Caenorhabditis elegans: one gene and its partner. The protein of the gene in region 1 interacts with the protein of each later gene in a pairwise test. Each region holds a gene or a part of one and is shown on either strand. Other genes may lie near its edges. The genes, in order: F08F3.4 and add-1.

The links.
Region 2: the proteins of F08F3.4 (region 1) and add-1 interact in a two-hybrid assay, tested with the Caenorhabditis elegans proteins (one large-scale study listed by BioGRID).

What each region holds. Positions count from the first base shown.
Region 1 is NC_003283.11:5,404,576-5,418,039, forward strand, and holds F08F3.4 (L-threonine 3-dehydrogenase, mitochondrial), read left to right. Parts: upstream 1-6,379; 5' UTR 6,380-6,538; coding exon 6,539-6,782; intron 6,783-6,840; coding exon 6,841-7,018; intron 7,019-7,067; coding exon 7,068-7,300; intron 7,301-7,864; coding exon 7,865-8,134; intron 8,135-8,216; coding exon 8,217-8,368; 3' UTR 8,369-8,426; downstream 8,427-13,464. Other genes in the region: dmsr-7 (G-protein coupled receptors family 1 profile domain-containing protein), read left to right, coding at 795-880, 948-1,160, 2,016-2,159, 2,356-2,614, 2,663-2,793, 2,842-2,967, 3,179-3,319, 3,384-3,458 and 1 more; C25A6.1 (Serine/threonine-protein phosphatase), read left to right, coding at 3,953-4,276, 4,660-4,788, 4,859-4,934, 4,981-5,054, 5,100-5,240, 5,291-5,368, 5,416-5,496; F08F3.10 (uncharacterized protein), read left to right, coding at 8,836-8,845, 9,049-9,134, 9,183-9,308, 9,918-10,037, 10,079-10,239, 10,298-10,421.
Region 2 is NC_003284.9:4,848,687-4,865,956, forward strand, and holds add-1 (Adducin-related protein 1), read right to left. Parts: upstream 11,358-17,270; 5' UTR 11,351-11,357; coding exon 11,252-11,350; intron 11,016-11,251; coding exon 10,923-11,015; intron 10,850-10,922; coding exon 10,741-10,849; intron 10,419-10,740; coding exon 10,276-10,418; intron 10,157-10,275; exon of another isoform or gene 10,007-10,156; intron 9,881-10,006; coding exon 9,737-9,880; intron 9,689-9,736; coding exon 9,521-9,688; intron 9,175-9,520; coding exon 9,115-9,174; intron 9,058-9,114; coding exon 8,959-9,057; intron 8,655-8,958; coding exon 8,570-8,654; intron 8,515-8,569; coding exon 8,429-8,514; intron 8,368-8,428; coding exon 8,095-8,367; intron 7,551-8,094; coding exon 7,338-7,550; intron 7,289-7,337; coding exon 7,030-7,288; intron 6,736-7,029; coding exon 6,634-6,735; intron 6,526-6,633; coding exon 6,466-6,525; intron 6,370-6,465; coding exon 6,280-6,369; coding exon of another isoform or gene 6,206-6,279; intron 6,188-6,205; coding exon 6,144-6,187; intron 5,789-6,143; coding exon 5,717-5,788; and 4 more. Other genes in the region: F39C12.1 (GATOR2 complex protein MIO zinc-ribbon like domain-containing protein), read right to left, coding at 1-70, 124-300, 348-1,549, 1,600-1,686, 1,731-1,902, 1,954-2,175, 2,222-2,336, 2,385-2,834 and 5 more. UniProt on the Caenorhabditis elegans protein: Membrane-cytoskeleton-associated protein that promotes the assembly of the spectrin-actin network. Plays a role in time-dependent memmory loss and the retention of conditioned behavior over time.

The DNA of each region.
Region 1 (13,464 bases):
TTTGGCGCCTACCTAGAAGCCCTAGATCTAGGTTACATGTTCACAAGAAACAGAAAGTTGAGCGAAAGATTAAACATTCACGAACGAGTGTGCTTCACAATTATAATCATCGCAATTATAAAACTGCTGAAAAATATGCTTACTATGTTTTAAAAGACTAGTCTTGCCAAGATAAGTTGGCAGGCATGCCTACATGCCTACCAATTATTTTGTGCATTTTCAAGATCTGCTGAAATCGAAAAAAATTATTTTAAAATGTTTTAAACCCAAATAATAAATATTTTGATAAATATGGCTCTCTTTTACGGTTTCGAGTGTCATTTTTTTTTAAACATGCAAAATTTACAAAAGAATTTACGCGTTTTTTGCAATTTTTCGCTCACTTTGTTTTCGAAAACAAACAAATCTACCGCCCTGGCCGGCAAAAAAATAGGTTTTTTGGTTTTTTTTACTCTAGGAAATAGTTTTTAAAAAATAAAAATCTTCAATCAAAGATTTTTACAATTTTTCAAAGTATTTTCCTGCTATAGAAATAACAACTCACGGAACAAAAATAACTTCCGGCCAGTGACCTATAATTTTGTAAATTTTTTGAAAAACGAAATTATATATTTTGTTCGAAAACTCGATCAGCTTCTTCCACAACAACCGACTGTCATCTAAAAGTTCAAAAAACACAGAACGCATTCCACCCTGTTGCTCTTGGCTTCTTCTGATTTTCTCCTTATGTTTCTTTGTTTCAATGGTCTTTAAAAACCCCTTAAATTTTCAACATTTTGAAGGATGTGCTAGATATGGAATGTCCGCACGATGCTCAGTTGTTTGATCCGAACAGTAACAGTACGCAGGCATTTCTTCGGAAACTTGCACATTTTCAAAGGTTTGTTAAACTATTTTTTGTGCACTTCTTTCAAAAAAAGAAAAATGAACCAATGATTAATTGTCAGATGGTACCAGCCAATTCACGGATATGTATGTGTGCTCATCTGCGTTTTTGGTATCTTCACCAATTTTGTGCATGTGGCAGTTTTATCGAGACCCAACATGCGCAATTCGGCCGTCAACTGCATACTGACAGCAGTGGCTGTCTGTGATATCGGAACAATGGCATCCTATCTCATTTATATTATACATTTTGTCTTACGACGAAATAATTCCTGGTAATTCTTGTGTGTTTATTGGGTGGAAATGTTTTTGTTTTGGGAAATGGAGCGGCGTGGCGGCTTTTGAGTAGGAACATCAACAAATATGGAATTTTTGGAAAAATAACACAAGCTTTAAAATATTTATTTTCTGGTTTTTCCTATTCCAATTTTATGGTGAATTGCAAAACCCGGAAAATGTCGGTCACTTCATAAAAAGGATGTAGAGTTCGAAGGCGCTGATTGGTTTAAAAATAGTCATGGCTTCTCATTTTGGAAAAATTCAAATATGAAAATTCGCAATTTCAAAAATTGGACATTTTTAAATCTTTCTCGATTTTTTAAGTTTCCTTTTTTTTTGATTATGCAGCATATATTTGAATATTTCGAATACTTTGAAACAAAATCCTTATTTTCCAAACTCTACCTCAAACCATTAATAACAAGAATTCAAACTAAGTGTGCTCTTTCTATTGAAAATTTTGAAGGATATTTATATTCTTCTATTTTTCCACTCAAGTATCAACACACACACACAAAAAAACATCCTCAAAGTAATAATGGAATTTCAAAAGTTGAATGCCCATGTTCGTCACTTGCTGCACTTAATTGAAGAGGCATAGAATTTTAGTTGAACCTGGAACTATTTATTTCCTCCTATCCGTTTTATGTGCATCAAAACATGAAAACAACTGCATATTTTATTGATCATAGGAAATTTTGAAAATCGTCACAAAGCTACAAACTACGTGTATTCATAAATAACAAAAGTGAATTCAAGATGAAAAGTCGCTCGTAAAATGATACTGAAAAACACGAAAACAAGCGTTTGCAATGAAACTCAATAATTTTTATTATTAGATTTTATTACAGCACTCCAACGTTCACTCATTCTTGGTTACAATTCCTATTGTGGCATGTTGTTTTGAGCATCACACTACACACAACTTCTTTATGGCTCGCTGTGGCGATGGCGTTCATTCGGAGGATGACATTAAGGGTTACCGCTTTGAATAGGTATGCTGGGAGCAAAGTTTAAGGGACTAACATTTTTTTATACACTAAGATGAACAAGTTTTGTAATGAAAGTTTTCAAAATTTTTTTCAAACAATGGTAGGTATCCAAAAATATTTAAAATTGAAATTTTACAAAGACATTGCAAGCAATATACCCAGAAACGTTGGCCCCCTTAAAAAATCTGGAAATTTTCAGTCAATGGCAACGACCAAAGTTCGCATGGAAGTTGTGCCTGGGAATCTATATGGTCGTATTTGTACTTTGTATTCCAAATATGCTGGTCCACGAAATCGCCCGTGTAGAAGGAAATGACTGGCGACCTGGCAAAACGTGTCAAAAATTTGCATCGAACTACTCTGAACCGGTGTACACTTTTATGGTCAGCCACGCGGCGACTATCAACAATTGCCGGTTGTTTAAATGGAATATTTGGATGATTGGAATTCTGTTCAAGGTTAGCGAGTACGCGAGTTATCAAATTAAACGTCCTACCAGTTTTCAGATCATTCCATGTATTCTGCTAATTTTCTTGTCTTTCGGCCTTGTATCAAAGATTAGAGACGCAGAAAAGCATCGGAGGAAACTAACGAGTGTTCCGTCAAATGCATCAACAGATTCAAAACCATTGAAAAAGTATAGTCAACTCTCAAAGAACTTTTATGACAAAATGGAAATTTTCAGAAAGAATGGAACATCAGATAGAACCACATTGATGCTTGTTGTTATTTTATTGGTATTTTTAATAACGGAGTTTCCACAAGGAATCATCTCGATTCTTTGCGCAATTTTTACTACAGACGTTCATAGGTAAGATTTGATGTTTAACTAGAAATTTGGCCTGGAAAAACTGAAATCGAACTGCCCCAAGCTTGACCCAATTTTTCTTGAGTCATTTGAATTTTTGGAAATTTGGGTGCAGGCTGAGTCTTGCAAAAGTGTTGCTAAATTTTTGTTGGCCCAATTAAAGCTAAAATTGGGCGCTAAAGAAGTTTTCGAAAAATTAAATTTTCCATTTCAGATACCTCTATTTCTACATTGGTGATGTTCTTGATCTCCTATCGCTTGTCAATTCCTCTGTAAATTTTGTTTTATATTGTGTGATGTCTTCAAGATACCGGCAGACGTTTTGGGAAGTTATCATTCCTTCGTGGGCTTGTGGGTAAGTTCATTCTTATTGAACCAGTTCCTGTTACAGTAGTCTAAAATAAAATTTTTCCTCTCAGATTGTGGACGACCCGTCGTGGTTCTCCGACGGAACTTTCACAGCTTCAGTTGAACAACAGCTTACGACTAGGAAGGTCAGTTAATTTGTTTTTGAAGTCTGGAAAATATTATCTTTAATTTGCAGAAAACAAAGCTATACGCCACTGGCAACTGAACCGGAACCAGCACGCAATGAGTATTGGCGGTATGAAGCTTCCGTGTCGGACAATCAGAACAGCAGTAGAGAACATCAACTTTAAATTCCAATTTTTTCGATCTCGGTACAAATTCCCTTTGCAGATTTTTTGTGATATCTTGCTCATTTTCATAGCTTTCGCATTTTCTATTCTATTCTTGTTACGGGTACTTTTTGTTTTTTATTAATTCAGTTTTTATATAAATCAATATGGTTTACAAAATTATTAAATTATTCACGGCGCCGTGAAAAAAAAATTGTTTACAAAAAGACACGTAGATGTGAGTAAAACTAGGAAAAAAAATTATTTTCAATTGAAAGTGATTTCCGAAAGGTGAGTTCTCTTTTTCTCTTCCAGGAATCAAAAGTTAAAAAGGTTTGATGTTTTAGATTATGAAAGACGACGTCGTTGACAACATAATAATTGATGTCCTGAGCGCTAGTACTCACGAAAAGCTACTTTCCGAAGTGATCACGGAAGGACGAGTTCTAAAGCTTCTCGATTTGGCACTGGATGTATTTAAAAGACAGAAATCAATGGTTGAAATGAATGCTCCGATAAAGGTGTGCGGTGACATCCATGGACAATTCCCGGATCTTCTTCGTCTCTTCCATCGTGGTGGATGGCCGCCGACTGCGAATTATTTATTCCTTGGTGACTATGTGGACCGTGGAAGATTTAGCATTGAAACCATTGTTCTTCTTCTCGCTTATAAGGTTTGTTGCTTTAAGTTTTGCAAAAAGAAGCTAGGATCAAAAATTGTGACGCGCCAGAATTAATCATTGACACAAAGAATGCCAAAACAGGGGATTTTTGCAGAGACCGCTTAGATTTTCCAAAATAAGCGTACACATGTGATAAATAAATGTGTTTTCAAAAAGAAACATATTTATTGTCCATCACATATTGCTCTGCAAAAAAGTGCGCATCTCTCAAGTATCAAAGTGACAGAAAGTTGATGCTGCTCCGATGAGCTGTCAAATTTGAAAAATGACGTCAACTGGAGTGATGGATCTTTTGGACGTTTATTTCTCTCTCCCGATCTTCCAAATCCCATGGCGTGAACTTCTTTGAAACATTTTTCAAGTCATGATTCCAGGTGAAATTCCCGGGCAATTTATTCTTGTTGCGTGGAAACCATGAGTGCGAGTTTGTCAACAAGGTATATGGATTCTATGAAGAGTGTCAGAAACGCTATCAAAGTGTTCGCATGTTCACGGCTTTCCAGGTAAATTTGATTTTTTACCAAAATTGAACAATAAGGTGCAATATTAATACAGGAAAAACGGTACTTTCAGGACGTATTCAATTGGCTTCCACTCTGCGGACTCATTGCTAATAAGATCTTGTGCATGCACGGAGGACTATCGCCTAGTATGTCAAAGGATTTCACTTTGGACAACCTGAGAAAAATTAATAGGCCATGACGGCAAGGAGAGACTGGTAGCTGATCTTTTGTGGGCCGATCCTATTAGTGGTCTTTCTGGGTTTATGGTAACTTTCTGATAAGAAAAGATCGATTTCATCAACTTTATTCAGGAAAACAACCGAGGTGCCGGGTGTGGATTCGGAAGAGATGCTGTTCTGAAAGTGTGCTCCGATTTTAAGCTTGACCTGATCTGTCGTGCCCATCAAGTTGTTCAAGACGGTTATGAGTTCTTTGCTGGTCGGAAATTGGTGGTATGAGTAAAAAAAAAGTGCCGAGAGAAAGGAACATTAAAAATTTTTAGACAATCTTCTCGGCTCCTCATTACTGTGGTCAATTCGACAACTGTGCTGCCTTCATGTCTTGCGACGAGAAGCTTCAGGTAAAAATTTTTAATTGAAATGTTGTAATAAATGTGCATTCTTACAGTGCTCGTTCGAAATTCTCCGTCCAACGAGTGGCCGCCTTGAAGTTCGCGAGAAACCATTGCTCAAGGATGAAACAAACTGATGGATGGCTGATTCATAATTTCCTTCAATAAATGAATAGACAAATAAATGTGGTTTTGATATTATTTGTAAAATAATAATTTAATGTTTAAAAGTAATATTTGAAATTTGGCCAACAACCTGCCCAGCCAGCTTGACAAACAACGACACCTTTCCGGTAGAAATTTTCACCAACTTCCCGTCTTTTTTGAGAGAAATATTGCAGTGGAGATCTTAACAGTGGTGATCCCAACAGTTATCCCAAAACTAGAATACCACAACACTTTAAATTTTTAACTGATTTTTCAATCTTACCAGTCTATGTTTTGATCTTTTTATCCAAAAAATTGAATTTATTAATATTTTGAGAGACCTCAATTAGTTATATTGGCTTCAGATCCTACATTTTTCAATCATCGTGACTAGCTGAAATTTCTAATTCGGATAGTCCAGCCAAGGCAAGACGGGTGTCATATGTTAGACTTTTAATCATACAGTCACGCTTGTTATTATATCATCCCACGTGGCATCTAGTCAGTCACACTACTATTAGTCACTCTACTTACTCTTATAATTTTTTCAAAAAAGCCTACGAAAATCTTTAAAATCTGAACAATCTGAGTACATCCGTACCAAAACTGTATCCCAAAGTAACTTTTTAACGAAACACGTGTTTGTCTCTAGGTATGCGTTGGGAACAAAAAAGGTACATACTTATCTTTGATTCGTCTCTCTAGCAATTGGGGGGGGGGGGGGGACAGGCCTTCAGCAGGCAGCATCCGTCAAATTGCGTGATAATTGAATTAGACAATGACCACGTGTGGGAAGAGGACAAATGAGTGTATGTCTTCGTCGTCGTCGTCATCAAGTTATAAGATCAACCCTCCACCCATTTCGTTGAAATCAGAAGGCGTCGATGTCTAAGTCTCTGATCAGGCGACCTCACTGGTTCCTCTTTTAAGAAAATTCCCACATAACTACACTTGATTTGATTACTCATTTTTCTAACTGTTAACTTTTTTGATTATCAACTGTTCTTCGTCTGCTTCCGTGTCACACAAAAAATGAAAAACTTGCGAGTTTTTGGAAGAATTCACAATGCCAGAAGAAACTATTCACCTTTACCAGTTGATCCTTTATTACGGTTTAAAACAATCAGTCAAACACAAAAAGCTCCTCGAGTTTTAATCACTGGATCTCTTGGGCAGCTTGGAAGAGGTTTAAATTCAGTCTACAAGTACATGTATGGATCTGAATGCGTTGTTATGAGTGATATTGTTCGTCTTCCTGCAAATGCTACAGATGTTTGTAAGTTGAAACTGCTTTCCATATTTTCAACAGAAAATTAATTTATTGTGTATTTTAGCCGACTACAATTACCTGGATATTTTGAATCAAGGATCTATTGAAGAAATCGTTGTTAACAAAAACATCGACACAATTGTTCATTTCTCTGCACTTCTATCAGCTGTTGGAGAAACAAATGTTCCGTTGGCTCTGCAAGTGAATTGTAGAGGAGTTGAGAACATTTTGCAAGTTGCTGCGTAAGTTCCTACTTGTATTGGACTATATCTTGACATTGTATTGTTTCAGAAAACATAAGCTAAAAGTGTTCATTCCATCCACAATTGGAGCTTTTGGACCAACAACTCCAAGAGAAAACACTCCAGATCTTACAGTACAATGTCCTACAACCATTTATGGAGTCAGTAAAGTATATGCAGAACGTCTCGGAGAATATTTCAATCATCGGTTTGGGGTTGATTTCAGAAGCATGAGATTCCCGGGTATTATCTCAGCGACAAAGCCAGGTGGTGGAACTACTGGTGAGTAAAATTATATAATAATTAAACGAGAATTTGAAACTTTTTTCCTTTAAAGATGAAGTACGGTCAATTCTAAAATGACCAAATATTATAATAAAACTTAGAGAAAAAAATTTGAAAAGGTGAAATCTCAGTTTTCACCTATCTTTTGCAAGTCGTCGATTAAAAAATCAGAAAAAAATTTCTTACAGCTGTTTGATTATGTTGAAAATGTTCATAGTTCAACATTGGGATTTGAACATGCAACAATGTTTTAGATTTTTTTTTTTTGAAAAATGGCAAAACTCAGTAATTGCCACTTTCTGACTGGCAATAAAAATTTTCCAAAAACTTTTGGAAAAGTTTTACTATGAAATTTGGTCCTTTTAGCCCTATATGAATGGTTTCGAATTACTTCCCAACTAATTTTTGATACGACCTTTTCAATTAGAAAGGTTTTGTAACACGATTAGAGATAATTTCCTTGCAGACAAACGGTATCAAAAAGTGGTCAAAGTTGATCAGTTGATACATTTTTGAAAAGAATATTTCTCACGTACACAGTCAAAACTATCCTCCTTTCAGACTACGCAATCCAAATTTTCTACGACGCTCTTCAAAAAGGCAAGCACACCTGCTACCTTCGACCAGACACACGTCTTCCAATGATGTACGACACTGATTGTATGGCTTCAGTCATTCAACTTTTGGCTGCTGACAGTCAATCATTGAAGAGGCGAACATACAATGTAACGGGATTCTCATTCACACCAGAGGAAATTGCTGATGCAATTCGAAGAGTGATGCCAGGTTTCGAGATTGATTACGATATCTGTCCAACAAGGCAGTCTATTGGTAGGTGATATATGATCATTTTTGCAAGTGGACTTGCAAAAAGAAATACCTCTTTTAAAAAAACTAAAATAATTTTTTTCAGCCGATTCATGGCCTATGTCATTGGATGACAGTGAAGCACGTAAGGATTGGGGATGGAATCCAGAATATGGTCTCGATGAAACTGTTCAAGTGATGTTCGCATTGCTGCGAAGAGAAGAAGACAAACCTACAAAGATTGTCAGTACTGCATAAAAACTGGTTATTTAGGCATTAATAAATCATTTGATCTACTTGTTGCAAAAATAAAAGTGATAGAGAGAAAAGTTTACACTTGGAACGGATAGAAAGTATCAATGGGTGCAAAATGGGTGTATGACACAAAAGCAAGTGGTCATTTGAACAGCATTTCAGTTAACTGTGGGGTTATGAGAAGAATTAGAGTGCAATTCATGAACACGGTTGTATTTTTGTCAGCAATTTAAAAATTGACACTTGATTATTCAGAAACATCAGTTGAGATGAAAGAATATGCGAAAATCGAATAAAATTTATTAGATGTTAGTGATACATAAGGTTGAGAATTAGAGTGAGAAACAACAATGTGATTGAAATGAAATGATGGTGTAACAGTTGTCAACTGAGCTCAACATTCTCTGCTCCACTCTTCGTTTTGTTTCTGCTTTGAAGGTTGTAGCTGGGAATCATAATTTACAACAAAAATGATTTCAGGTAAGTTTCACACATATATTTTATATATCAAAATATAAAAATGTTTTTTTATTTCTAAAAAGCAAATAATTTAGTCTAAATTTAAAATTCTTGGGTTCTTACTTTTAAAACGTTTTTTACAAACCAAACCAATTAGAGCAACTAATTGAGACATATTTTCATACACAATTTCCATAATTTACGTTCAAAATTTTTGTTTTCAGGAAATCCATATTTAAACATTCAAGGTCCTTTTGGAAACTTTTCAGAAAATGAAAAAAAGCAGACTTGTTTTAGGCTCCGTATTCAGGTTTGGCTTGCAATTTATTTTTTTGCTTCAGAAAATTTAATTTTTCAGACCTGGGTTTACATACATTGTGGGATCAGTATTGCTACCTCAATAATTGGAATCACGCTTGGAGTATTACTTTTGGTCAAAACAGAATGGCATGAGAAATTGTTTATTTATAAATTGACGTTTGCAGTAAGTTTTTTTTCAAATATTTAACTTCAAAAGTGGAGAAAAGCAATTCGGTATTCTGATTTAAACCATAGAAAATGGACCGTAATGGGCAAATACAATTGCCAAAAAATTGAATAAATAATTTTCCAAAAATGTTTTTATGATTTTTCAATTTTTAAAAAATAAAAAGGGCTAAAAAAGGAAAAACGTTTTCTGGCTTAACTAAATGGATTTTCGCTAAAATTCGAGCACAATCCATGTAAAATCTGTTTGAAACCAAAAATTGGATGTGGGCCGTATTTGTAAATTTTTTATGTGAAGCAGTTTTCGAGCATTTAAAAAATTTAACAAAAACCAGTGCATTTTTGTCCAAAAGCAGAAAATGCTTTCATGAACTTTAACATTTTGAAAGTTAAAAAAAATCAATTTTGTTTTTGCAGTTAATATCGACAATATTGACTTTCAATTTGCTTTTTTTTATACTTTTATTCAAAAATATATTATGAATAACCTATTTGAACAAACTCTCAAGCTCGACAAGGAAATCTAATGACAGTAAAAACTGTCTGAACCAAGAATGTCATATTTTAAAATGTTCATACTTCTCTCCCAAGTAATTTTTCATTTCAGTACATCCGACGTGCTGATCCCGTACGATATTGGATTGCATATCGAATATTTTTCGGTTTTTGGATTTCTCTGCATTCTCTTCACTTGCTTTCAATAATTTCCACAGTTGTAGCTGTACATGTATGTTTCCTTTTCAGATTTTCAAATATCATGTCTTTTAGAAAAGCAACCTAAAACTTCTTAAACCGCAACTTTTGGTTCTCGTGCTTCAAATTGGGCTCTTCGTTATTGCCATTTCAAGTTTAGTCGTGTACAGTATGACTGGATCTCGCGTTGCTTGGTTTACCCTGATAGTTATAATATTTCATACTTTATTTGCATGGTAAATTTTTAATTCTTAAATTAAAAAATATCCATACAACCAATAAAATAATTTCCAGCACAAACTTGTATCTACTCGCAAAATTTCATCGGTTTTTGGACGAGAAATTGATGATTCTAAACGAAATTCTGAGCGCTCAAGCAAAATCGGTACACTTCAAGGACGACTCATCGAACTCTTAATTGATTAATTGAATTTGATATTCAATATTGGAATTTCACTTTGTGAACGTATCAAATCAAATAAATTGATTACGGTTTTTCTAGAAAGCAAGACTAGCGGGCCTATGGGCCCGCCAGCCCTTCGGGAATGGGGATAGGGTTAATTCGCTCTAAGTTATTAGCAAGGTAGCTGGCGCAGGTTCTCGGCTTCGCCTCGAACCTGTTAACGGGTTATTCGAGATCTCTTTGAAATTATTTCAGGAGTGGGGTATATGTTTAGAAAACTTGACTATTCAGGTTTGAGGCTTCGCCTCGAAGCTCTTACTGTGTAAGCGGCCCTCGAACCTGGTTGTTAGGTTTGAGTAAATAACAACCGCGTCGCAGGCCTACAGCCTGCTCTGCTTAGAATAGGATTAAAGCCAGCCCACAGTTTTCAAGAGTATTCGGGCCTGCGGCCCTCAAACCTGGTTATTAGGCTTGAGTGAATAACATATCTGCTTAGAATAGGATCAAAGCCAGCCCATAGTTTCCAAGAGTGTTCGGGCCTGCGTCCCTCGAACCTGGTTGTTAGGTTTGAGTAAATAACAACCGCGTCGCAGGCCTACAGCTTGCTCTGCTTAGAATAGGATTAAAGCCAGCCCACAGTTTTCAAGAGTATTCGGGCCTGCGGCCCTCAAACCTGGTTATTAGGCTTGAGTGAATAACATATCTGCTTAGAATAGGATCAAAGCCAGCCCACAGTTTCCAAGAGTATTCGGGCCTGCGGCCCTCAAACCTGGTTATTAGGCTTGAGTGAATAACATATCTGCTTAGAATAGGATCAAAGCCAGCCCATAGTTTCCAAGAGTGTTCGGGCCTGCGGCCCTCAAACCTGGTTATTAGGCTTGAGTGAATAACATATCTGCTTAGAATAGGATCAAAGCCAGCCCATAGTTTCCAAGAGTGTTCGGGCCTGCGGCCCTCAAACCTGGTTATCAGGCTTGAGTGAATAACATATCTGCTTAGAATAGGATCAAAGCCAGCCCATAGTTTCCAAGAGTGTTCGGGCCTGCGGCCCTCGAACCTGGTTATTAGGCTTGAGTAAATAACATATCTGCTTAGAATAGGATCAAAACCAGCCCATAGTTTCCAAGAGTGTTCGGGCCTGCGGCCCTCGAACCTGGTTATTAGGCTTGAGTAAATAACATATCTGCTTAGAATAGGATCAAAGCCAGCCCACAGTTTTCAAGAGTATTCTGGCCTGCGGCCCTCAAACCTGGTTATTAGGTTCGAGTGAATAACATATCTACTTTTTGGAAAATCGTGAACGCCTGTGGGCCCCCAGCCCTTCGGGAATGGGGGTTGTTTTAGAAAACTGAAAATAATAAAAGCTTTCTAAATCAAACTTATCTAAGAGTAATCGCATATCAGGCCTCCGGCCTGCCTTGGTATAATGATTTCAGGTTTACTGCGTCTTCTAAGAGTAAGAGTGCCTGCGGCACTCAATCCAGCCAATCTGGGCTTAAAACAGTTGTAATCGGACAGCAGGCCTCCGGCCTGCAATGCCTGAAGTATATGTTCAAAGTGAACTTCTTCTTAGAGGAAAAGTGCCTTTCTATGTTTTTTTTGGAAAGAAAACATTTTCCAGCCACCCGCACTCATGCACTCTCTTGTGAGGACAGGCGACCTGTGAACAGTTATGCACTAAAACTTCAATCCGTCATAACTTTGCTCATAGTAGAAGTTTGAAAAAAATAAAATAATTTTTGAATTTGGCGTAAAAAGTAGAACAATACGGCGGTTATTATTTTAAAAAAGAACAAAAATTGAAACATATCCCCTTCTGGGAAGGCCTGGAAGCTCAAAACTTCCCTAAATGTGCTCAAAGTTGTCAAGACCCACCAAATTTAGTTTGTCTACCTTGCTTTAGTGAAAATTATCAAAATGAAAACATAAGATCACAATTTTAGTTGAAAACTTGTCCAGGAACAGTGGAAAACTGGATTTCCACGTGCAAAAATTAAATAACCTATCTCCGCGAAAAATGATCGGATCGAGCTGTGATTTGAGATTTCATTTTAAATCATTCTATTAATTCTAAATTTAACATAAAAACCGGAACGATAGTGGAAAGTTTGTGAATTTTATGGAAAAATGTAAATTGCTTGAAAGAAGTGTTCATTTTTTCTATTTTTGAGACTATTATTTACCTTTTTTGAAACAAAAAATTATATTTTCCGCTTCCTCTCGATGTGATGAACATTTTTCCAAAAAAAAAATTTGGAAAAAGAGCAAGACTAACGGAGATTTGACCGAAACAATGGTGAAAATGTGGCCGAAAACACACCAAATATGAAAAGGGGAGGTGGGTGTGTGTGTGTGTGTGAGAAAAGGGGGGAGGTGCAGAAATTTTGGCAAAACTTTAATTATCGTTTTTAAAATAACGAATAGAGATATCACAATGAACTTAGATACAATGGATAGGCATTGAAAAGGAGAACTTAAGTTTCGAGTCTCAAACGTTTTGAACATAAACTCGAATTTTCCTTCAATTTAAAGTGGTTTTCGGCCAGTACTTCGGTGTGCGCAAAAACAAGAGGGGTGTGGTTTTCCGCTTGTGGAGCCGACAGGATGCTCCAAAATCAACCCCCTTTTAGATGAACACACGTCGCTATATTTTGTGAATGTAGAGAAAAGAGAATTTCAAAAATCGGTTCCGTGAGAGCCGAGATATAAACGTTCAAAGTTGTATTACATTTTTTCGGACATTTTTTGAACATTTTTTGAACACCGAAAACGCGTGTGTGTGGCAAGATGGGGGTTTTAGGAAGGAGGCAGATGTATTTTTTAATTTTGCGACCATTTGCCCGCGATTCTTTTTTAAATATAAACGGAATAATTCAATAATTATGAGCAATTGGATCAGTTTCAATAGGATAGAATTGACTACGATTCCTCATAGAATCTACTTATAGAATCTATAGAATCATAGAATCTAGATTCTACTGAGGAGAGTGTAACTATCAAACCAACTGTCAACTCACGAAATACGTGCAAAATATCAAGAGAAAGAATACAACCAATT
Region 2 (17,270 bases), on another chromosome or scaffold:
CCTTCCTCAAATACCTTGCTTCCTCGATCGCTTCCTTATCCATCACGTTCCTCGGATTGACACCACAGAGCTGAAAAACAAAAATTGTTAGCTTCAAAAGTAATTCTGTAGTCTATCTATTACCATTCGTTCGTGTCGAACACTTTTAAATGTAGTTTCGTGACTATCAAACCCGCACAGCCGATTGTACATCTGAATTGCTTTTCGGAGAATCTGATTGTAGGAGCACTTGTTGGAAAAGAAAAAGTTCTTGTCGTAGAATGTCTGCCAACCAACTTTCATATGATTGTTGAGTGAGAACTGTAATAAAAAAATTTAATTTAATATTTGCAATTTCAGAAACGTACCTTCAAGTCCAATGTACATCGCTCCTTCACACTAGATTGCCGTTTGTCGTTTTCCTCAAACCGACCATAAAGAATATCCCGTTCATGACGACGTCTACCCCAGTACATGAGATGCTCGAGACGTCTGATAAAGGTGCTCTCTCGGAGTCGATCTGGCTTGTATCTTCGCAATCCAAGCGGCTGTGTAGCTGGCTGGTAGACCACGTACATTCGTTTTTTCTTGATTCCAAAGTAGGCATCCTCGGGAGTCTCATACTCAAAATCATCCTTCTCGTTTCGCACTGACAATGCTTGAGGTACATGGGGAGTAGGCGTAGGTGCAGGAGGTGGAGTAGGTGTTGCTTGAGGCGGAGAAACAATCTCGTCGTCGGAGCTATTGTTGTCAGCTAGCTGAATCGCGGCACGAATCATAAAGCGAGCATGCTCCGGGTCTTCTTCGCCATTTCCATCAGAAGTTACAGGTGTCTGTTTAGGCTCCTTTCTCGAGCTTTTTGGCATTGACAGACCAATGGGAGCTTGTATTGGCTGTGCAGCTTTCTCGCGCATTTCCTTTTCTTTTGCCTCTCGTTCTTTGATGTATTCAGGTTTCATAAAAACTGACGTGGAATCTGTGATCAGCTTTGGTGGGAGGACTCGCTTCTGAAATTCTCTTGGCTTGAAACGTTGAAACTTCGGTAGATCGTCGAGAATGCTTTTCTTTTTGAATGCCGTGTCAATTTTCAGCCGATGTCCCAGAATTTGAGGTTTAGTAATTGACTTCCATCCCAACTTGAAGAACTTGTCACGAATCCGCTTACTCGAGCCAATCGCAAAAGAATTTCCCATGGAAGCATACATGTATTTCCTATCAGACTGCTTCTTATTGTAGTATCGAATCTTCGCGTGGCATTTGCACAACGTTCTCATGTTGAACGATAGCTCCGATGGTAGGCCACTCTCCGGTTCATCAGAATCGTCTTCGCATGGATTGCCGGGTGGCGCATTGTGATCTTCAGTCTCCGACTCCGAATCGGACAATAAATCCGGACGAGGATCTGGGAGAAACAATCTGAAGAATGGGGCAACCATTTGAGTAATTTCTTCAGTGGCAACGTTATCTTTCATATACTCGTACGGAGGGATCTCCACTTCTGGAAGCCGTCCGTCTGGAAGTGGAACAAGGTCTTCCCATTCGAGGTCATTCACACCGATGTTTCCAAATTCTGAAAGCAAAACCAGTTAATGTAGAGTTATGTTCTCTAAGAACTCAAACCTTTGCCTCCATACTGAATGATGACAGAATTGTGAAGCCACTTTGCCCAAACCGATCGACTTTCTTCCGTGATTTTGAAGGCCAGTTCTAAAATGCTTTCATTATAATCAACAAGCACTGACAAAGTGTACCTTTCAACGATCTTTCGGATACTTGATAAGCATTCCATCCAGCTTCTAACCTGTTACACATCATGGTCAGTGTTTGTGCAGGAATCATTTCTTGAATCTGAAGACCTCTGTAAAAAAACACCGAGTCGGATCCTGCGTACGGGTTGACGCTTCCTTCATAGTGTTTAGGACTCTGTAATTCGAAATATGAATATTTAGAGTTTAAAAACTATATTCAGCTAACCCTGACAATTTTATAGGTAAATGTGTTTCTATCAAAGCACATGATACCGTTAACACCCGGAAATACAAAATCAAACGATTCCACTCCTTTTGCCTGGTACAAGATCTTTGGCTTGTGAATTTTAAAATCTCGTTCCGCGGAAACTCGTTCAACTGCTTTGTACAAATATGACTCGTAATCAATTTCAGGGACGTCTTGAATTTTAGCCAGGAACTTCATGTCCTGAAAAAGTACAAGTGTTCGTTCGGTTTTTGAAAGAAACACCAACCACTTCGGCAGGATAAGTCCACAAAGTAGGAATCGGAACTTGTGGGTCATTCTTTGCCGCTTCATACTGCCCGTAATAACCCAGTAACGGTACTTCTGCATCTTCGTAAGGCATTCTAAAAGATAATTGAAAATTAAATGATTACAAGAATTCAACTACTCACTTTTCGCGTCGCAACATTGTGTGCCGAGTTGCAGTGCATCCTCTGTCAATGTGCTTAAACGTAATGACCTGCCATTTCCGATATGGTTTTTCAGAAATCGGTCGTCCTCCAATTAGATGAGTTGGGTTCATATTCATAGCAAAGACGCGGTGGCTGTTAGTATGTACAAATAATTCATTGGTAATATAGGGATTGAACTTCATATCGAGTATGCTCTCGTTTTTTTCAAGTCCAATATCATAAATAGCGCACGGCACTTCTGGCCGCCGAACATCGTACAGGAGGACGTTGGATCCGTTCCAGCAAGCAATTTCAAGGGGTCTTGTCGAACAGAGAGCTGTTTTCTGAACACCACCATCGAAGAAGACTGCATTGAAAGCTTTTGGGCATCGGACGTCCATAACACGGAGTGATTCATCATCTCCAACAGCAAGAAGAAATGGGCCATGCCTGAAAATTTAGAGGAAATTACTATAAAACATTTTAAGGCCACAAAAAACCTACCAAATCCAATCAATAGTATTTACAGGGGAATATGAATCGTAGTGAGCAATATTCCGTGCTGGTTTCACAAGATCAATGACGGTTACTGTGCTATTTCTGAAAATTACTATTCAATGTTTTTATTTAGAGTAATATTCAAACATAATCATCTCTTACGCAATCACGCCAATGTCGTGGTGAGACCCGCGGGGGCTCCTTCCATTTCTAGGCTAACTGTCTCCATAACAATCACTCTCACTGCCTCCCCCCTCTCTCATTTTTTTATTTCCGAAAATGTTTTCGCGGGTTTTTTGAAACATAACTCATGTAGTTTTTTTTTTCAATTTAAATGCAAACAAAATTGTGTAAGCGTGATGTTTTATGCTAATTTGATTTGAAAATATGTTTGATTGTGTTTGGAATTTATCGCGTGTAACATTCAGACTTCTTAGGATAACGTAAAAATGTTTTTATATAATAATTATAAAAAATGCCACTGACGTCCTTTTATCACGATTTTTGGAATATGAATAGCTGTAAATCGAAAATAGGGTGCTTTCATGATAGGCAGGCACCCTAATGCCTACCTGCCGCCTTTTTCCTGCACTTTGGTGTCTATGCTCAAGTTTTTGATTGAATAATTTTAATAAATGTTGATGAAAATCACATTAAGAAAGTTTTGAAAAAAGTTCGTGTGTATTAGCATCAGGCTCGGGTAGGCGCGATGTCGGCAAACGTTGCTTTAAAAACAGGCAGGCAGGCGTCTTGGCGCCTATATGAAAGCCTTAGGGAAGACATAACTTATGCCGTTTCTTTTCGACTAATAGCTGATTTTTTTTCAATTCTACCCTTGCTCGAATCGCACATATTTGAATGCAACTTACACAGAAGAATCTGTTCTATGATTTACAGCAAGCATTCCTTTGTCGAGTCGTCCAACACGTAACCCGTAGATGGTTTCACCAGGCAATGAGCAAAGGTTTTGACCACTGATTTTGGTGCTGTAAAATTGATGATAAGTTGACAAACGTTCGATTCCGGACTCACAAGTTGATATCGTTAAAATTACTAATATACCGGGCAAGGCAAATGTCACCGGTATTTTTGGAATATGGAAAATAAGTGATATGTTCGTGAAAGTCGATTGCAGTCACAAATTCCTGTTTCGATTTGTCAGTCAGTTTATGTTTAAAATATGGTTCACTGCTACGAAACGCGTCCATCGGATGCATGATTTCGCGAACCTACAAAAAGATTAGGTATTGATTTTCTTCCATGTCATTATTTTTCGTTAACTCACCGACAAATGGTCCGTTGGGTCATATTCAACAATGATACGTTCACTGATAAAACGCATCTCACGTTTCAATCCGAATTCGTTGAATCTGAAACAAAATAAACGTTTCTAAACAGGTAAAATAACTCATTTTCTACTTCAAACCATGAAATAACTCACTCATTTGGACATATTTCTTTAAAAATGTCATCAAATCCAATGTCAGGATCAGTCATTGTCACACAACTGAAAAGGAAATTCTGGCTAGCAAAAAATTGAAGTTTAGTGAATAAAACTAAAAGAAACACATTAGAATATAAGGTTTGAAACACAAAGAGTGTCCAACTCTTTTATCTTCGAGTCGTATCTTCGGCCGCGGCCACGACCACTTGCGAGACAACGCTGCGATGGAAGAGACGCAGATGGATAGTCTAAACAACACAACAGAGAATGTATTAATGGCAATTTGCCGTCGAATGAGGCGACACTCAATGGGCAGACGTTAGTTTGTCGGAAGGGTTATGAAGGCAAATATTGTTATCAGCATGGTGCAGTGTCATGTTTGTTACCATAAAATTATCCGTAAATTAGTATTTTCATTAATTCAAAAAATCAAACTTTGAAACTAAAACTTGTTATTTCTACAAGAACAAACAATTTAAAAATCAAAATGTGTAAGATTCGTTGTGCCAAATAGTGGCCAAGAGCGCTGTGCATTTTTTTCTGCAATTCTACAGAATATGTCTAGGCGGTTTTTACCCTAAATGACAGTAAATAATCACAATGTTCCAAACATAACTGTAAAAAGTCATACAATGATCAAAATAATGTTTTTCAATTGTGCAAAGAAAAAAATAGAAGAAGACTGAACTTATTTTTTTTCCTGCACAAAATGATCTAGCTGTAACATTTTTCCGGCTAAATTCATTCATTAAAAATATTTAAAAGCCTGTTTTGTAGCATAATTTATCGAATTTTCAGACTTTTACAGGAAAGTTAATTTGATTACCCGAAGAAATTTGCTGAAACTAGAGTTGGTGTGGAAATCGATAATCTAACGTGTGTAAAAACTATCATATATTCCAAGGAAAGTGTCTGGAAAACGAGCACTTTGAGTTTTATAGCAACAACCAAAAATAAACTGGATAACTTTTTTAATCTGCTAAATTCGTTGAGAAAAGCTATTTTCGTAGTCACTTTGCCGAATTCTTCTCTGTCCTGGCTTTTTTTTGTAATATAATATAATTATTTATAGATGAAAGTATAAAAAACTTGATGGAAATGCAAATACATAATATAAAAAAAATATGCGTACAAAATGACATTTTAAAAATATTCGAAAAACAAAAGACAAAGCACAGAGTGTTGCTATTATCCATAACCGGAATTGAAAGTTCACGGGAAAGAAAGAAAAGTCCAGAGACTAGACATATGTTTCTTGACGGTAAATTGGGCGTAGTATATCCGGATCTGAAAATTGAAAAGAAAACATAGAAAAAGTTATCGAAAAGTGTTAGAGTTAAGTGATGTGAACGTGTTGGTGAGAGCAAGGTGAGAGCAAAACTCTCATTTTTCATTTGTCCTTTTTTCGCATAAATGACAAAAATCCTTTCTTTTTCTTCTTTTTCTCATCTTTTGTAGGCTTCTGAAATAAAAAACGGTGTAAAATAAGTGCTTGATTAGTCCCAAAAGCAGAGAAGTTAGCAAATATTTCAATCTTATTTGAAGGTAGAGTAGAGTCAGTGGGGTTTTGCCCAAAATAACAGAAAACAGTTTATATATAGAGAATACAACTGTAAAAAGTTTAATTTTTTCATTGAATTTTTTTAAAATTTTTCAGAAATTGTTAAAATATCAAAAAAAAACTTCTAATTTGAAAAAAAACATTATTAAAAATTTAATATATTACTTTATAGTTTTTCTGTTATTTATGGCAAGAAACCTCATTCTTTTTTAAGTTTGAAACATTTGAAAAACTATTTGCTTCCAAAAATTCTTACTTCTTCTTCAGACGCTGTAGTGCACGATCGAGACGTTGTATTGCCTAAATGTTACAACTCAGTTATTGATTAGTTAGCTGATGCGCTCGAAAAAAAAGTGAAAACACAAATAGACACCACGTAGTTACAAATATACCTTCACTTGTTCCTTGAGTCGACGAAAATCGCGTCATTTTAACTTTTTCAGGGTACTCTGTCGAAATTGACATCGGAGAAGGGTGATCGCCTGTACACAAAGAGTTAGAAAATCTGTGAAAGTTATAAAAAGCTTTGAAGCCACCACACACATGCTACACAGAAAGAATAAGGAAAATAAACCTACAATCGAACACAACTGACTGGCTCATGTACGACGTATTGACGCTTTCTTCGGAAGTTCGGACTGGAAATATGGAAAATAGGCATTCAAATAATTTAAAACACTGGAAAACAAAGCGATAGAAAACAGGCGCATCGATAAAATGTGAAGGAGCAACCACATAAAAATTACCATTATTCGGGGAGATTCCGGCATTCAGGCCGTCGTCAGATGCGCTCAGAGCCGCTTGAGAAAGTTTATGTTCTCGTACTCCTTGCATTAAGGAAACTGTATCTGGAATAATTTTTGAAAATCGGCTGGTTACAACTAGAGAAGCTATTTTTAGACCTTTGTCAGCAATATATTTTCAAAAATATATTTTGTAAGTGGAGCCAAAAAGAACATACTCAAAACAAGTGGCATCCCACAAGTGTTTTGAACCCCAGATTTTCAGTTAAAAACTCGCAACACAACATGGATTTTTTGCAGTGTTTATTTTATTTTATTACGTTTTAAATAAAGGAATTTCAGTTTTCGTTTTCAAAAACGACTTTAAAAATTGCTGTTTTTTTGTTTCAGCTACCTTACCAGCTTCAACCTCATCGTATTGAGAGTAACCACTTCTCGCTGAGACAGGAGCGCTTTGCGAGTTCTTGGCCTTCACCATGTCTACATATTTCTTGATGTCTGCATCAGTTTCTACAGAGAATGGATTCGGCGCATAGATTTGGTGGTACACCTGAGCATGATGCTGAAATTGCCTATCAATGATTCCCTTGCTGGCAGTTCCGATAAGTATTGCTCGGTCAGCGGTCGAGCTCTGTCCGACTGTTCCGTCATTATCAGGCTGAAAGATTACAAAATAATAAATGAATTTTCAAGACGGGATATTTCACTTTAATCAATAGTGCAATGTCTTCATATGTCACACTGTCCAAAATCTGGCTTTGTGGTCCAGCAGAAAGAGTTCCCAGTCTGTTGTTTTCTTTGATAGCTTTTTGTTTTTCTTTAAATTCTTTAGGATTTGAAGACGCAGGACTGAATTGATGAACACTGCTGATTTTGACAGGGGTTCCACTCGCGGATGGAACGTTGACGTCATGAACCCACTGAAATGATTTGAACTTGTGTAAATTTAAAACACTTTAAAATTAATTTTTTCTCCAATGATTTATCATAGATGTTTAATTTGAACTCAATAACCAAATGCGACCGAATTTTATAATGAGACTTCTCAAAAAACTTTAATACATATTTTTATTGCGGATCAAAATTTTCAAAACACAATTAGGCACAGCCTGAATCGATAGTTGGTATTGGAGCAATTTTGAACATTTTCTGACACTACTCCAATATTGAAAAATACATTTTTTTATTGCGTTAGCATAACATGTATTCATAATGTGCATAATGACAACAATCCAAAAATTAGTGACATAGAAATTATCCAAAACAAAAATTCACTAGTAGGGCCCACCCATATCATAGCTATTTGGGTTTTCAAATCTCTGTTTATAGTTTTTAATTTAATGTTTCTTCAAATTTTTTTGTACATTTATATGAAAATAACTGTGTAAACATAATGACACAAACCATCAGAAGTTCATGTACAAATTTTATTTTCGTACTGCAAAAGTTGAAAACAGTTCTTACTTTAGTTATCTTCTTTGGGTTATCTGCTCCATACTCCAAAAATTCAACCTTCTGATATGCATTTGGACTGTTCATCCAACGAACCCGCTCCTGCTCCTTGCGCAGTAAAGCCAGACGATGTGCAGATACACTTTCCAAGTTTGTTTCATCAATTTGTCCATAAGCTGATGTAGTTGGCGGAACAGCAACATCATTGTTGTTCACCATTGACGTAGACATTGCAGATTTGGGCCGCAGTTGTGGTTGACGATAGACGTGCCCGGTTTGAAAATTCTATAATTAGTAGCAATTTTTAGTGAAACAACTGTGAGCAGGGCGAAAAAATTCTGCTCACCGCATGATCCAACACTCTCATCCAAGACTCCCATTCTAATTCTCCGACTCTCCAATCAACTGTTCCATTTCGTTTCAGGGAATTCGCTACAAAAGCATTATAGATGTATTTTAAATTTCAATATATATTGCAGAATCTTACTATTTCGAGAATTTCTGAACGCTCTTTGTATTGCTTTCTCTTCCGGAATGATGAGGTTGTCAAGTCCAGCCCTTGCGGCACGTACCTTACAAAAATATTTTGTTTTTGGAAACTTTGATTATGTATTTTGTATTTGATATGAAATAATATTTCTCATTTATTATAACTTTTCTAAACCTGATGGTCACAAGCAGTGACTAAGTTGCGCATAATTATAGATGTCTCTTCAACGGAATTTCCAACAACAAAACATCCTTCTCCTCTGATCAGCAGAACCTTAAATGTTTTAATCCCATCGTCATTTCATAAAAAATAAGCATTTGGCGATAGAATTGAACTACTGGCGGCAGGGCAGCGTGTAATTTTTAAATATGAGAAACTTCAAAAACCTGAGTTTCGCATGCTATCACAGTGTTGTTGGCTAGAAAAGTGGCATGCTCGATAGTGTCACCGACAACAAGGAATCCTTGATTGCGGAGGAAAAGGACCTGAAACGAAGCATAGAAAAGCGGATAGAAAAGCAGTTCAAAGTAAAGCTAACGCACGTTTTTGTCTCCAAGATTTGCAATAATTTCGTCAAATTGAATATCATCATCACCAATGTCCTGAAAAGAAAATTCAACAATTTTTTTGATTTTATAGTTAAAGTCATGTGAAAGGTTAATGAAAATTTAAACCGTTCGAAGGTCGACGATGAACTTTTCTATATCTACTTTAAGTACTAAAACTACCGATTTACATGATAAACTTTTTCAAATTTTGGCAAAGTACCAAAACTTTGACTGGAAAAAAATCATCAAAAAATAATTTTAAAAAACGGTTGCCGATTTTGCTTCTAGTTTCTTTAACCTTCAGATTTTCAATTTTCTCTCGTTCACACTTAAATTTTTCAGATTATGAAAATAACCACACAAGTGATTGTTTTTCTTCAAATTCAATATTTTTGCTAACCTGATAATCGTGATATCCAACTGGCCCAAGCACCATTGCTTCCTTACATAGAGGCAATAAACCACATTTCATACTAGCCACAGCCGCCACAATTGCCGTGTGCATATGAAGAATGCATCTGACCATTGGGTGAGCTTTGTAAATTGCAGAATGAAGAAGAAACGCAGGCTTAACTTGATGAGTGCAAAAATAAGTCGTTTTTGATTTTAAAGGTACCTGGTTGACTCCAGCTTTCAGTGTCCCGCAATCCAGAATTTTTCCATTTTCATCTATCTTCACGATGGTCGCAGCAGTGATTTCATGGTAGAGAAGACCAAATGGATTCATCAGAAAAGTGTTATCCTCATCGTTGGTTCGATACTAAATCAATTTTGTTAAAATTCTTCTAGAAAGGTAAATATGGTGTTTTTACTTTTGTAGAAGTTTCATAGAAATATAATTTTAATACATTTTTTTAAACACGTCGTTAATGGACCTGCTAGTTAACTCACGTCGGAAAATAAAGTGGTGTGTAACCGGAACACAACACTGAACAAAAAAAATCCCAATTTAAAGCTGATTAATCCTTACATTTTGGCAGCTGTTTCAGAAGTTTCGTATTTTAATAAAGTTGAAATTCATACAATTTCTACACGCGTTGTATTTGCTATATTGTAAAATAAATTTGGTTGATTGCAAAATTTTACTTTAAACCACAGGTTCAAGTTTTAAATTTTTGTGGTAATTTTAAAAAGTCAATACTTCAAGCACCCTACCGAGATTTCGTTATGAATCCCTTGTGACCACTGGAACAGGTCAGCTAGTCGAAACAAGCATGCCAATTTGTTTCTCTGGATACGTTCCGCTTTTGAATACTTCTCGTTTCCACGAAGATCAGCAATTGCAATGGTGTTTCCACCTGAAACATAGATTACATGATTTATCGGAAATTGTCAACTTACAGAAGTTCAAGTTTGTAAAAATATTGCAATTTTGTTTATGCATGGGAATCTTAGATTTTTGATATTATAATACTTTACTAGAAAAACAAAAAAAGTATATCTACTTTTGTGTCACAAGGTTTCAGCATAGCTAAAATTCGTATAGGAAAGTTTTCTGCATTATAACATGTTGTAACTCCTCGTGTGAATAAGCATAAATCGAGTTTCTTTTGTCAAAATAAGGAAAAAAAACCAAGTTATCCGTTTTTCGAATACATTATTCCAAAATATAATACAAACCATATGTGTGAAGGTTGCCAAACGACATGTTTCCTTGTGGAACTGTGAGGTCCGAAAGTTTCTGGAGTACTTGCAAGTGATCCGGATCCGTACGTGCTGTATCACACTCCTAGATGTAAAATGTTTTGTACAAAATTACATTTATTGAAACAAAATAACGAGAAAAAAGACAAATTACAAACCTGACGAATAACTTCTTCTAGCTCGTGGCAGAATGATTTTGATTCAAGTATCTGTTGCACTCTTTTCCGTCTCTCCATCTCTGACAAATCCTCCTAAAATAGAGCATTTCTCATCCATCTTTTAAGCTGATTAAAGAGCGAGCACTCCTTTCTCTTCTTCTCTTGCATTTTCCATTCAATTTCCCAAGTCTTTTCAAAAAATGACACTGCGCTAATAATGGCAGGTTTCATTAATTGAAGTTCTTGGAAAAAGAGAAAAAAGAGAGCTGAGGAGGGAAAACTTGATGTGCTCTAGTTTTTTTTACGGAAAAACTTGGAGCAGCACTTACTTTGATTACTGCCGGTCTTTGCAAATCTTTGATATATTCAGGGTCATCTGGGTCTCGATAGTATGGACGTTCCCGTTCCTTCTCTTTTCTTCCAATCATCTGAAACTTTATTGAAGTTTAAGAAAATTGAAAATGAGATTGAAATATTGAAATTCAAGAAAAAATCACAAAGTTTAGAAAAGTAAACATTACTTTGCAAATATGAAAATGGGATGTAGTGTACAAATATGAATTTAAAAATAAAAATAATAAAATTATTCTAAATGTGCGATGATTTTCTGAATTATGTTTAAATTCCCGCGCAAATGGATGGCCTACTTTTGATATTGTCTTGTTTTCCTGTTTCATTATTGGTCTTTTAACGTTAAATTTCTGTTTGTCAAATTTTTAGACATTTTTTCAAGATGAAAAACTGTTATAAAGGTGTTAACAGTTGAACTTACTAAAGATTGAAATATCAAATTAAGTAAAAAAGGGTTCACAAGTTATCGGAAACTGTATTTACAAATAAGGATTTTTTAAGATATGCTAAATCGGATGTATACAATTTCATGAAAATAATTTGACATTTCTACTAGCACACAGCTTACACAAAGCTGTACTAAAAAGCATGAATTGATCGAAAAATAGTTCATTCAGCGTGAGACTATTCGATGGCGAGCCATCTGATTTGTATACAAAATTTGGTTATTGCATACCTCCTGCGTTATATAACATTTGCTCTACGGGTGGCACACTTGCCATGAGAAAGTGTATACATCTAATTACCTATGAAGCATGGCAAACGGTAATATTGAAAAATATTAATTGGAAATGTGAATTTGACCCTAAAATGTTTGTGGTTTTTGCGTCAGTCAAATTCTCCAACACACTACTTTTGTCTGCGATGGAAGCGATAAACGGCAAACAAGAATGAGAACCTTAAGGTATCCGCCTGTTGCGATAAAGTTCTTCTTATGTCAAATCTAATTTAAGGAATGAGGGAAGAAAAGGAAGACCGAAAAGAAACTCAAGTCTACATGTACTCTATTTTGGAGAAAGATAGAAAGAGGCGCCGAGCAGAAAACCCAAGACATTTTATTCAGGATGGTTAATCACAATGAAAAGAAAATGGAATAAATAGAATGCACTTGTCCGAGTGGTGCACAAGTAGGGTGGCTCAAATGAAAAAGAACGGTGAAGCAAAATGGAAGTGGAAATTTTCGAATTGAGCTAGGCCAATTAGTTTTGTGAGATTTCATTACTTTTTGGGAAAGTAACCATTTTTCCGCAAACAGAGTTTTATAACTCAAAATAAATTTGTCAAAATTTAAAAATCGGTTTGAACTTTTCAGATTAATTATTCCGATAAGATAATATTGCAGCACTACTACGAAATGCTGAAACAATATTTCTATTTAAAAATTCTAAGCTTTTTCAATAATTTGCGGTCAATGCAATTATTTATAATACCACTTACTGTAAAATTCTTAGTCTGAAATTTGAAATGCTTTAACTTTCAGAAACTTGAAATACTCTTCCAAAAAAACCCCAAACTGGTGTTTAACCAATGCGGCAACAATAGAAGAAACATGCCGAATTGCGATTAAATCTTATATCAAACACACACGCACACACACCTATGGTGACGATAGTAAAACAAACTATTTGTTTTAACCTTTTTGATTAAATAGATCTGATAAAAAGAACAAGTGGAGAAAACAGGAAAACAAAACATGTATCTCTCGCCCTTTTTCCTCACCTTGAATCAATTACCCTTCTTGGAGACTTTTATTGAGAAAAGTTAGGGAAGTAAATAGAAAGTGAGAAAAACGAAAGAATTGAAAAAAGATCGCTGCTGTCAATTGAGCGAAACAGAATCTTTATTCAAATCAAGGTTGTCTATCGGTTTCTGGAGACTCAAAAAGGCAGTGTTCATTTGTTGTGTATCTTTTGGCTTGGAGAAAAGACGAAACACGCCTTACGGTTCATTGAAAACACCGAATTTCGAAAGCTAAACTGTTTGCTATTCAAAACAAAAGCTCAACAACAGTGATATGATTTTTGAATTCAGTTTTGCGTGGAAAACCAAATAATCAAATAGGAAGTCAGAGAACGCTGAGAAAAAGAATCGATAAACTCGCTGCGTTACTGTACAATACTCGTTGCTCGAAACAGTTGTCATAAAAATTTGATGTGCCCGTAAGGCAAAGAGAGAATAAAACGTATTGAGAAGAAGAGAGTTTGGAAAGCGAGAAGTGGAAGAATATGAACAGGCAAACTTTTTCGGAACAAAACTATTCTGCAAAAAAGAGGAGCAGTACACAAGATGTGCTATCAGTTGTCATCTAGATAGTGCCATTTGGAGCATTTCGTAGCGACCGACAACACACACAAATAATGAGTTGAAGTGTGAAATGGGAGGCATGGAATAGAACATTTGTCAGACCATGCACCAGCCGCCCGATGGTCTATCTTACACGCACTCGAATTTGCATTTCGTTTAAAGAACCCAAGGCGGTCGGAGAGAGTGCGTTTGAATAATTAGATCGTCCAACAATAACATTGGCGAAACATGGATCCGGCAACAAAGAATCTTACAGTTTGTGGTTGTAAATATTTTTAAATCTTTGTGATCAGAGAATGATAGCTTCGAAGTTTCAATGAAAAAGTGCTTTTGAGGCGAACTCTGGAATTACTACATTTCCGCAAACATTATTACACCTTGTTACCGTATATTCTCTATTAGTGCTGCATCTCCAGTAGTACTGCAGTCTCTATTAGTGCTGCACCCCATTTTCTACTGAAAGAGTCACTCAATAGTTTTGACATTTTGGGGAGTGTTTTTTTTGTATATTTTTGAAGATTTCTAGTTAATTTACAAACATAATTGAATTATTGGGTCATTTTTGTTACAAAATTTCTCAATTTTAATGGATTTCTGCTTAAAAGATGAGCATTTGTGACTAAAAACTAGTGATCTCCAATTGAAAAAAGTCGTTCGAAAATTAGTACCGCAGTCTCTAATAGTGCTGCACTCAAAAAGGGCCTGGAAATTAGTGCTGCTTGCAGCACTAATAGAGAATATACGGTACTTTATTTTTGAGATGTTTGAAATGTTATATGTTCCTAAATAAAACAGAAATATGCATTTCATGTTTGCATAAACTCCAAAATTAAAGACATACCCGAGGGACTTTTTTTTTCTATAGAAAACCATAAAACTGGAAGTGTGAAAGATATGTCTGGTCCGACATCTACCGGGCCCCGCGCCGCACTGTGTTAACCCTGCAAAACTAGTCTAGGGAACCAGGTAAATGTCGGACCATACAATTTAGTCACTCTTCCTATTTTGAGACTTTCTCAAAAATTGTTTCTCAGAATGAACGTTTCCGAAATTTAGAAGTTTCTGCATGCACTTTTGTTGTGTTGAGATAAAGTTTTCGAAATTTTCGTGTTTTGTTTTGCTTTACATTTTCTTTATTTGAAAGTGCTGGAAATTCTTGCAGAAATGAAAGAAAGAAAAATTCAAATTTACAAAAATATATTTAAAGCTTGCATGCAGTACTAATTGAACGAAGGAATGGTAAGACGCCAATTATTGAGTTATTTAACAGAAGTAAGTAACGATTAGTGTACTTTTCTAATGAAACAAAAACTATAAGATAGATAGAAATAAAAGAAGCAACACCACAACCACACTTTCAGTTAGATGCCATGAGATCGTTTTGAAAGTAGATAATTGCGTTTAGAAATATGATCCTGTTGGCTAAAGCCAATAAGCATGGAGGGGTGCGAGGAGGGGACCAGAAAAATATTCCTTCTATCTTTTTTTGCTTGCAGAAAATTTTGAAGAACAAGGGCCAAATCTTTAAAGCAGGGGGAAGAGTGGAGAGGATGGGAGGGCAACGAGACAAAAATTCATGCACAACGAGCGAGAAAAGTCCCTTACGCGTGAAAAAAATGTGGAGCAACAAGGTCTTACCGAAAAAAGGCACTCCGAAAAAAACGGCATTTCAGCTGACGGGTGAAGATAGAATACGCAACAATCTATCAAGTTGTTCAGAAGAAGAAAAAAACGCTGATGCCCATTGGAAATGTGTTACGCGTTTACGCGTCTAACAGTCATCAAAACACGATAAACTCGAGATTGAGTGCTCAAAACGGATTTGTTGGAAAAATTGGGAGAAAAGTGGGGAAAAGTAACGGTGACCCAGATGCGGCAGTTTGAAAGATGTAGCCTAATGGAATTAGAGCAATCTTCTAGTAGTACGGAATTGGTCGCTTTAAAGTACGCAGTTAGTCTCTGCAGAACTAAAAGACAAAAAGAGGCACGAATCTCGGAGAAGACACAAGAAGGGCCCCTCCTCTTAAGACAACACAATTTTTTTGGAACAACGGAACTTGTTGCTGGCAATAATGATTGTAGAAAATCTCTAATTTATGAGCATGTAACACATTGACGTGCTCGTAAAAGCAACAAGTATACCACCAAAGCAGCAGATAATGCCAGTTGACTCCAGATGACAAATCGGTGTCGTGAAGTCGCGGCAATCCCCCAGAGCAAATGCCGCATCTTTTCAAACACTTACCAATGTGCGCTCCAAATTTGATGAATTAGCTATTTGGCGTATATTCGAAACTGGAGAATGTTCACTTTGCCGTTTTTTGTTGTTTTAATTTTATGTCAGAAGTCTGTAGATTCTGAGTGAGTGAATGAGTTGTAAAACTTTTACATCAATGAACTTCTATGTAATCTGGATGCGGATTTAGTATATTTTGAGTAACATTTTTGTTTTTTTGTACTTCCTTTTTTCTCAATTTTCGTAATCTCTTTTCATATGATTTTTTATAACACGTCACAATTGTTTCATTGCAAACTACAGATTCATATTGTGAGTTTCTATTCAATAACGACAAAAACATTTTCCAAACAGATGCCCTAAATTTTGACACTTTTTGCTTCACTTCTGCTCATAAAAAACACCTTGTAACCTGATTTTGAATTTTGTTGGGAACTTGTGAATTATTGAAACCTTCGGAAGTTTTTGGCAATCGACGAAGTCTGCAATTCTTCTGAAAGTGTCAAAAAATAATTTTTTTTTGATTTGAAGTGTATTTCAAAAATCTAAAAAAAAACGGTGACAGCAAAATACACGTTTTACGTTTTATTTTCGACAATTCTTATATCCTTATATCCATATATCCATTGGCAGATTTGGGAACTCCTGGTTGTAAAATATCTGGAAAAAAGAAAATTCTGCCAAAATTGCTAAAATTGTGTGAGGGTATATTACTTCTTAGAAATCGTACCCCGAATGTTTCTATAACATCCTAATAATTATTTCTTTGTCATGTGCCAATTGGTTTTATTATTTAGACGAATTTTGTATGTGATTTTGAGATAGCTGCATTAAACAAAAAATGAGTATAAACCGATCAGCTCAGCCAGGTTAACAGTACGGCTCTGTCCGTAACCATCTGGAAAAAACTTGTAAAGTTCATCGAGTTACCCGGAATTGTCAAAGCTTTGCAAAAGCTTGGAGGGTTGAAATTGCAATTCCCTCGTTTTTTTATGGCACTTCAATATTTTGAAAAAAAACCAAATTTTAACAGAAACCTTCAATTTTGTCCCGTGTCATAGTTGGCTTTGCTTAAATTATTGGTAAACGACCGAAACATGCAATTTAAAAATGACAGTTTAAAACAGTAAATTTCAGACAGCTGCGACACGGAAAACAAACCGCCGTACAACAAAGTTGAACAATTACTATTTTCGATTATTTGAGCACATTTTGAGTTTACACGTTCAAAATTCCCAGAACCGTTACTGATCCTTTGAAATAATTTAGTGCATTTTTTTTGAAATTATTTTTCAAATCAAATCTTAGTCACGTCACTTGAATTGATAACTTCTGTCAAACCCACGTCCTGACTTGTTTTGACACACATCCCAAGAAACTGTCACTAAATCCGTGTTTCAGAGCTTTCAATATGAAAGAAAAAAGCTAGTCATATACATGAAGGACGCGTGAGTCGA